Linked DNA regions of Macaca mulatta. The protein of the gene in region 2 purifies or fractionates together with the protein of the main gene of each other region. This does not show direct contact. Links are inferred from orthologs where the notes say so. Each region holds a gene or a part of one and is shown on either strand. Other genes may lie near its edges. The genes, in order: EEF1A1 and EEF1G.

The links.
Region 1: the proteins of EEF1G (region 2) and EEF1A1 purify together in Homo sapiens (affinity purification with mass spectrometry; 5 studies listed by BioGRID and IntAct, counting the BioPlex papers as one, with this or other methods). This does not show direct contact. The link is inferred for Macaca mulatta from reciprocal best matches to the Homo sapiens genes EEF1G and EEF1A1.

The regions. Positions count from the first base shown.
Region 1 is NC_133409.1:112,150,978-112,155,541, reverse strand, and holds the start of EEF1A1 (elongation factor 1-alpha 1), read right to left. Parts: upstream 2,984-4,564; 5' UTR 2,971-2,983; exon of another isoform or gene 2,333-2,970; intron 2,025-2,332; 5' UTR 1,995-2,024; coding exon 1,851-1,994; intron 1,497-1,850; coding exon 1,317-1,496; intron 1,197-1,316; coding exon 900-1,196; intron 817-899; coding exon 666-816; intron 579-665; coding exon 322-578; intron 225-321; coding exon 1-224. UniProt on the Homo sapiens protein: Translation elongation factor that catalyzes the GTP-dependent binding of aminoacyl-tRNA (aa-tRNA) to the A-site of ribosomes during the elongation phase of protein synthesis.
Region 2 is NC_133419.1:11,492,478-11,496,918, reverse strand, and holds the start of EEF1G (elongation factor 1-gamma), read right to left. Parts: upstream 2,957-4,441; 5' UTR 2,948-2,956; coding exon 2,936-2,947; intron 1,876-2,935; coding exon 1,717-1,875; intron 1,019-1,716; coding exon 955-1,018; intron 804-954; coding exon 661-803; intron 233-660; coding exon 89-232; intron 1-88. Other genes in the region: TUT1 (speckle targeted PIP5K1A-regulated poly(A) polymerase), read right to left, coding at 4,197-4,441. UniProt on the Homo sapiens protein: Probably plays a role in anchoring the complex to other cellular components.

The DNA.
Region 1 (4,564 bases), on a different chromosome or scaffold from region 2:
TAGTCTGAGAAGCTCTCAACACACATAGGCTTGCCAGGAACCATATCAACAATGGCAGCATCACCAGACTTCAAGAATTTAGGGCCATCTTCCAGTTTTTTACCAGAACGGCGATCAATCTTTTCCTTCAGCTCAGCAAACTTGCATGCAATGTGAGCTGTGTGGCAATCCAACACAGGGGCATAGCCAGCACTTATTTGGCCTGGATGGTTCAGGATAATCACCTTGGAAAAAAAGATTTGCGTTCAGTGTAAATCCAAAGTCTCAAATGACTTTAGCCTCTGCAATAAGGTAGGAACATGTTACTTTAAAAATTGTTACCTGAGCAGTGAAGCCAGCTGCTTCCATTGGTGGGTCGTTTTTGCTGTCACCAGCAACGTTGCCACGACGAACATCCTTGACAGACACATTCTTGACATTGAAGCCCACATTGTCCCCAGGAAGAGCTTCACTCAAAGCTTCATGGTGCATTTCGACAGATTTTACTTCAGTTGTAACGTTGACTGGAGCAAAGGTGACCACCATACCGGGTTTGAGAACACCAGTCTCCACTCGGCCAACAGGAACAGTACCAATACCTAAAAATATTTACAGCATACTAAATACCTATGAAGGAAGATAGTACTCTACCAACTCAAATTCAACTTTGTTGACACCCAACTTACCACCAATTTTGTAGACATCCTGGAGAGGCAGGCGCAAGGGCTTGTCAGTTGGACGAGTTGGTGGTAGGATGCAGTCCAGAGCCTCAAGCAGCGTGGTTCCACTGGCATTGCCATCCTTACGGGTGACCTTCCATCCCTTGAACCAAGGCATCTGAAACACAACCATGCCAATTTGTGTAAGCATGAAATCGCCATTCCCAGAGCTTTTTAACAACGGTCTTGAAAGCCACTTACGTTAGCACTTGGCTCCAGCATGTTGTCACCATTCCAACCAGAAATTGGCACAAATGCTACTGTGTCGGGGTTGTAGCCAATTTTCTTAATGTAAGTGCTGACTTCCTTAACAATTTCCTCGTATCTCTTCTGGCTGTAGGGTGGCTCAGTGGAATCCATTTTGTTAACACCAACAATTAGTTGTTTCACACCCAGTGTGTAAGCCAGAAGAGCATGCTCTCGGGTCTGCCCATTCTTGGAGATACCAGCTTCAAATTCACCAACACCAGCAGCAACAATCAGGACAGCACAGTCAGCCTTTAAAGAAAGCAAAGACATATCCCTGTCAACTCTCCAAAGGACAAAACCAATGCACAAGACAGGCATTTCAGGGAAAAAAAAAAAAAAAAACAACCTAGAATTATTAATCCCACCAACCTGAGATGTCCCTGTAATCATGTTTTTGATGAAGTCTCTGTGTCCTGGGGCATCAATGATAGTCACATAATACTTGCTGGTCTCAAATTTCCACAAGGAGATATCAATGGTGATACCACGTTCCCGCTCAGCTTTCAGTTTATCCAAGACCCAGGCATACTTGAAGGAGCCCTTTCCCATCTGTAAGGATTAAGAGTTGTTACTTGGTTACTAACACACAAACTCCAGCTTCAATTTCTTTGCCCCCAGCCCTTAATTGGCACATAGTTTCCACTTTACAACTGCAAGTCCTAAGCAATTTTAGTCACTTAGATAGGGTTACAGAAGCAACCAAAAAGCAAACTTTTTAAAGTAGGATCTTGACTATTAATATCCAAATCGAAACTACTCACTAGCAATACGGTTACAGAAGTAACCAAAAGCAAACTATTTTAATAAGTAGGGTCAGATCTAAACCACTCACTAGTTCTGGGGAAATCACTACCACTTAATGATTCTGCTGGTAAAACTCATTTTAGTTCATCTTTCCCATACCTCAGCAGCCTCCTTCTCAAATTTTTCAATGGTTCTTTTGTCGATGCCACCGCATTTGTAGATCAGATGGCCAGTAGTGGTGGACTTGCCCGAATCTACGTGTCCAATGACGACAATGTTGATATGAGTCTTTTCCTTTCCCATTTTGGCTTTTAGGGGTAGTTTTCACGACACCTGAAATGGGAGAAAAAAACTTTGAACCACTGTCTGAAGCTTGAGAATAAGCCAAGATCCAAATTCGAAAAGGGCAAATTCCAAGGAGAATTACATCGAGCGCCAAGCTGGCCTAACTCTTCAGTCTCCACCCACCAAGTGTGGGGAAACTCCACCGCACAAAACCCCTCCCCCAAACCTAAGGAAGACGTACTCCAAAAGCTCGGAGAACTAATCGAGGTGCCTGGACGGCGCCCGGTACTCCGTGGGGTCACATGAAGCGGCGACCGAGGAGGGAAAGGCCCTTTTCCTTTGTGTGGGTGACTCACCCGCCCGCTCTCCCGGGCGCCGCGTCCTCCATTTTGAGCTCCCTGCGGCAGGGCCGGGAAGCGGCCATCTTTCCGCTCACGCAACTGGTGCCGACCGGGCCAGGCTTGCCGACCAGGGCGGGGCGACACACCGCCGCGCGAGGCCCGGCACCAGAGCAGGACGGCCAGCTTGAGACTCCCCCCGTCCGACTCTCGGTGGCCGCGCTCGCAGGCCCCGCCTCGCCGAACATGTGCGCTGGGACGCACGAGCCCCGTCGCAGCCCGCGGCCCCCAAAACCCCAATATCAGTGTGCAGATCCTGGTCCGCATTTATAAGATTATCTCGCCAGGAAAAAGGCGTTGCAGCTGGTCATCAAAAATTTTAAATGGCTAGAAACTTAGTGAAAGCAGCGGGGCAGGCGCGAAGGTGCTACCAGATTCGCACGCGGCAGCCCCAGAGCCCAAGCCAGGCCTCGACTCAAGCACGAGGCGAAGGGACTCCTTAAGTGCAAGGCCTCGACCTCTCCCACCCACTTCCAACCCGAAGCTCGGGATCAAGAATCACGTACAGCGGCCAGGGGCGTGTAAGTAATAAAAGGCACGCGAGGGCCATAGCCCGTAAAGAGGCCAGGCCCGCAGGAGCCACACACAGTACTTACCTGTGTTCTGGCGGCAAACCCGTTGCGAAAAAGAACGTTCACAGCGACTACTGCACTTATATACGGTTCTCCCCCACCCTCGGGAAAAGGGCGGAGCCAGTACACGACATCACTTTCCCAGTTTACCCCGCGCCACCTTCTCTAGGCACCGGTTCAATTGCCGACCCCTCCCCCCAACTTCTCGGGGACTGTGGGCGATGTGCGCTCTGCCCACTGACGGGCACCGGAGCCTCACGCATGCTCTTCTCCACCTTGGTGATGACGAGAGCGGGCGTGTGAGGGGGCGGGAACGCAGCGATCTCTGGGTTCTAGGTTAGTGGGAGTTTAACGACGGTCCCTGGGATTCCCCAAGGCAGGGGCGAGTCCTTTTGTATGAATTACTCTCAGCTCCGGCCGGGGCGGGGGGGGAAGAGGAGGGGGAGGGGGAGGCGACGAGGTGGCGGCCTGGAAGGGACGTCCAGAATCTTTCCTCTACCATTGCTAGCTTAGCCCCAAAGGTTGTGTTGAGATTAGGGTGTACCTTCGCCCCCCAATCAGCCTCCTGTCCTCAGCCTTGCTATCTCGCTAGTCCGTGACAAATCCCTAGAGCGTCGTCTTCTGCCGGTCTCAGCCCAGCCCCGGGTTGGCTCCTCCTCCGCCCCGGCTTCCGCGCCCCTCCCGCGTGGCAAGGAGTACCAGGCCCGGGGACCCCGAGGGGCTTGGGGCGAAGGGTCTGGACTGGAGGACTCCTTAACGGCTCACGGACCTGCGAGAGGTTCGGCTCGATGGCCGTGAGCTCGACGAATCCGCTCCTGTGCTGGCCTCTTGGCTCCTTCCATTCAAAGCCAGCTGCTTTTATCAAAGCCCGTAACACGTCATCTCCCCCTGGTACTCCAGATGTCCAGGCTTTCAGTTTAGAATAGACTCAGTCCTACAGTTAGCTTTAGATCTAATTCTAGTTTTGTTACGCCAAAAAGTTCCTGCGAGTGTGTGTGTGCCTCATGGTACTTTTTAAATTAAAAGGTGTACAGTCATTTGATTGCAAACATAAGGAAGCTAAAAAGCTTTCAAATTCAGATTTTCCACGTGATCTCATGTAGAGACTAAGATCTACAGCATCAGCAAGTTTATCCACCCAGTTTCCTAACCCCAACACTTGCTATGAAGTCACAGCTTCTCCTATTTAAATAAGTGCCTATTATATTTAAATAAGTGCTTTCTTTTTCTGTCATCCTATAGATTGTAACTGCATTTTAGCATAAATCTAGGGCAAGATTGGATGAGCTTGGCCGTTTTGGATGGCTATCAAGACAGGCCTTGGGAAATGCTCCTCTGAGGAATGAAGAACGTTTATTTTTAATGAGCTAATTACTAGATCATTATGTTTCTTCTTCCAGCTGTAGAATATTACTGCCCAGCTTCTCGAACAAACTTATTTATTAACAAGTATTTGAGAACCTACTATGTGGCCAACGCTAAGTACTGTGGAGTTCCTTCTGGAGAGGAACCCACAATCAAATTGGAAGAGGAAAACAAGTTGGGAAGCAGTTAAAGGCAAACGCGTATGGTGCTTTCTTGGTTTTTGTATCTTTGTAGTATAAAGTTTTCCTAGTCC
Region 2 (4,441 bases):
AGCAGAATACAGGGTAACATAGATACCTTGTCACTTTGCTTCTAATCCCCATCTACCCTCTGCCAAATAGATTCTCCATAAACTTCACCTGCTTATAGAGCCACAACAGGGTGCAGACAACTGTGATGTCAGCCAATGTCACTCGTTCGCCCACCAGAAAAGTCCTCGTCTTCAAGTGAGCATCCAGCAGCCCCAGAATTCGCCTCACTTCCTCCTTTGCATTCTCAGTGGCCTAGTGATTCAACATGATAAAACTCATCAGTGGGTACCAATCCCTTTCCCTCACCTCCCCAATTAATAGAACTAAGAAGGCTATTTCACCTAGAAGTCTGAGCTCACCCTCACCCTCTTTCAATGGAGACAGACCCTAGGATCATTCTAAATATATCATAAAGGAACTTTAGAGGTCCTCTGGTCCAGCCACCCCCTTTACCATTTGGTATAATCTCTTCACAGCAGCAATCCCTCTTGTGACCACTCATGACAGACACTTCCTCCATCAACTGCCCACTACTTCAAACTTGTACCCCAGAAAGTACGTCTTCTCATTGCCTATATATCCTTGGCACCTTTTTTTCAACCTATTTTATTTCTTACTCCCAACACCCAGGAGCTAAGGCCACCCCTGCCCCTGGCTTCTCCCAAAGTTCCAAGGCTCACCTGTTTGTTGTGGTGCATGATGCCCAAGGTGGGGAATACCCAGGTACTGGCTGGGGGCACTATGTCGGAATCAGCAAAGCTCACCCACTGCACCACCTGGGCTGCTGCCTCTGGAGTACTTCCCCGCAGCTCCTCATTGCTCACTGCAGAGGCAGAACACAAAGGTCAGAACTCTGGGGGAATGCCAACACCAGTCCAGGTCCTGAAGAATTCCTTCATATCCATCCCCGCTCACACCCTCTTGTACACCCTCACCTCCAAATTCTCCCATTCCCATATACCCCTGCAAATTACCATAGTAGGCAATGGCGTTGCTCTCAAACACACAGAATCCATCGTCACCCTCAAATGCTGGAACCTGGGGACAAAGCAGTGAAAAGATAAGGTAAAACACACAAAATTTCTCCCTACCCAATACCAGAAGCCAAACTGCTTTGGATAAAAATACTTATGTAAGACTGACGATCCTCACTATCCAAACTCTCCATACTATCTGATACTCAAGAACCATAAATAAATACTTCAAGAGCTGGGCATCCTTTGCAATCTGAATTCACAATGTTAACTAGGAAGCACAATAGATTTGAATATTACAAGATATTTGTATGAAATCTCTGGATCAAACAAGCAGAAGACCAAAAGTAACTCCTGTATCAATGTATCAGTGCAAGTATTAGTGTGTGACCCAGATCCACATAGTACTTCATCTCCTCCATTCTTAGCATGTTTTTTCACCTATCTCTGTAAACCCCTTGGGGTAAGAATCCTGCCCATAACAGACAATCTGATACATTTGCACTGAAAATGCTTAGTCAAAACTCATTCTCTTTCCCACAAAGTAAACTCGTGAATGTATAAAGTCACAGAATAGCTCTGTACTTTTTTTTTTTTTACAACTACATGTGAATCTGCATTTATCTCAAAATAAAATCACTGAAATATTGAAGAAAATAACATGGGAAGCTCTCTTTTAGAGATGGGGGCCATCTCCAGAATGATAGAATCCCAGGCCTTCGTTTCTCAGAACCGAAGGACACTCCCCATCTCCCAACTCACCTTGCCGGCAGGAAATTTGCGGAGAAATTCAGGGGTGCGGTTGGTTTGGCCAAAATGGAAGTGGGGTGGTGCGGAGAGCACGCGGACCTGAGCCCCGCTGTATTGTGCAGCGATGAGAGCCTTGAAGGCCCTCCAGTTTTCAGGATACGTATACAGGGTCTATGAAAGAAAGAGAGGAACAAAATTAATAAGAGCATTAGGGTCCCAGTCCTAAATGCCACTCCCCAGGATGACTTGCCTGAATAATCCCAATGTGTTCAACTCACCCTTTTACTTCCTCTGGTGAACCAAGTCCTTTAACACTTGTCATATGTAATCAGAATCCTCCGAAATACCAAGAACAGAACTACACACCAACTGCTAAATAAAGCTTGTTGACAGATTTGACCTTCCCTAAGGACACCTCTAGAAGCATTCTCTTTCCCTCAAATCTATCTCCCAAGAAATCCAGAACTTCTAGCTCCATCAGACTCCATCTGCCTACAAACATACTCCCTTCCCTTCACGGAGCCCTCGTTTCATTCATTGATGGTTCCGAGCGCCTGCCTACTCTACTGCTCAGCTGCTCTAAGGAACGCACAACGATCGAGAGATTTCTAGTTCCTCTCAGAGTGGCCAGAGATAGGGGATGGCATGCCGTCTTCTTAAATCAACTCCTCTCCCTCAAAAGCCTTTCTTTCCGTGTCGCGCATACCATCCCTCCGGTCCTGTCCCGCAGCAAGTTCCCCAGCGTTGCCTTCTCTATTAAGCTGGCCAGCGGACTCCAATTGGTCTGACTTCACTGTCCGGAGAATCCTCTCGCTCCCAAACCTCCCTGACAGACTACCTTTAACCGTGCCAGCCGGACCTGCCTACAAAGACCCGCTCTTCACCCTGTCCCCGCTGTTACTCCACAAAACGGTCACAGAAGTTCGTCAACCTACCCAGATACTACGCCTCAAGGCGGCAATAGAGCCGAACCCCTTTTTCAGGCTTCGGACGGCCCAGATTCGGCATCCCTTTTCTCCTCTTCCCCAGACCCTTCCACCTCTGGCCTCCGAGAGCCCCAGCCTCAGTTCCCCTCCAGGCCGTAGGAACCCTGCTCTCCAGCAGTACGGTCTGTAGACCCAGAATCAGTTCCCCATTCAGCCTCAGAACTCCTCTGGCGCCGACTGGCCCCACTCGGGCAAAGGATGGCGGTGGATAGGATGACCCGAACCACCAGCGCCGGCAAACTTACCCCAGCCGCCATGGTGATTCCGCAAAGAAAGGGGGTGGGGTTCTCCCCGCTGCCGCAAAGTAAGCCGCCCAGGAGAGAAAGGAGGGGGAAAGGGGAGAGCCGTGGAGAAACAGCAGCCGGAAAGCGAGGACGACACAGAAGACATACGTACGACAGTTCGGTATCCAGTGGCGCCGAATTGGAAAAAGAACGGAGTGGGTGGGGCCTGCTGGCCAGCGCGGAAAAAGCTCGCGCCTGCGCATTGGAGATCTTGACTGGCCCGCCCCTCAGGTGCAGCGGACCAATTGGAGTCTAGACGTGGAGGTAGACAGCGTGGAGGGCGGGGAAGCTGTGAGAACCCGCTGGAAAAGCCGCCGGTTCTCGGCTACGTGGCGCCGCTGCTGGCCTGGCGCCGTCAGGCTGCTGGGGGCGTCCCCCTCTGGCCCACCCAGGGACGAGTGACTCGATGGTAGGTTCTGCCAAGCCCCTCACATGATTCTGTGAAACTCATGGGAGCGAGGAACGACTGCTGCGCGGAGGTGGCAGTGTGTGTGCTATATCCTTTAGTTCCTGCTCTGCTTTTCCTCCAGAAAGGGATGAGTGTCTAACAGGGGCCCCGGTCTGAACCCGCCTGCCAAAGTGACGTTTGCTCACATCTAACCCCTTACAGCTCCAGGGTGCTGTTACTGCGAGCAAGGACACCGGCCCTCCGGCCCGAAGCAGGGCAGGGACACGAGGGAGAACGCGCCCTGTCCCTCCCGCCTCCTCCGGACTCGGCCCCTGGAGGGGCTGACGCTGGAAGACCCGACATCGTCGCTTCTGATATTCATGGCTTTTGACTCATGTTCAGGTTTGAAATCTCTTACCCAGTTTAAGAACGGGATGAACTCTCCTCGTTTAAAGGAGAGAATGAAGAACCCTGAACGCAAATCTCCATCTTTGTCCCCATTAATCTGAGGCGGCAGGAAGAATGTGGAGGCAAACCTGGCTCTTCTCAGTACTGTTCCAGCCACCCACCGCTCTGCCATTCAGGAACTCTGCGCGGGTGCCAGGTGCCACGCACGGTGCTGCCCCCGCACTCCCCGCAAGCTGTGCGAACTGTAGGAAGGAGAGGCTGCTGGGGTGGAGAGCAGTAGGGAGAGACCCATGTTCGGGGTCAGAGGAGAGCAGCTTCATGAAGTTCTGGGGGAGGCGAAGCATTATGACCAGATGGAAATGAAAGGAAACGGGAGACTCTGTATTAATAAACTAGCAGCTTTATTGCCCTTTAGGGGCCATGTCTTCACTTCAGATGTTTAAGTGCTTGAGGGAGGAAAACCTGTAAGAAATGATGGAGATCAGGGAACAGGCCTTGGCGATCCTGGAGCGGGGTCACAGTGAGCATTCGGTCAGCCAGGGAGACAGACGCCACAAAGCTCAGCAGGGGCTCAGTTTCTGGCCTCTCTTCGCCACCACTCAGTCCTCTCAGCTCCTGGGTGACCTGAGCCTCAGTTGCCAGCCACCCTGCTCCTGTGCCAGCACCACCTC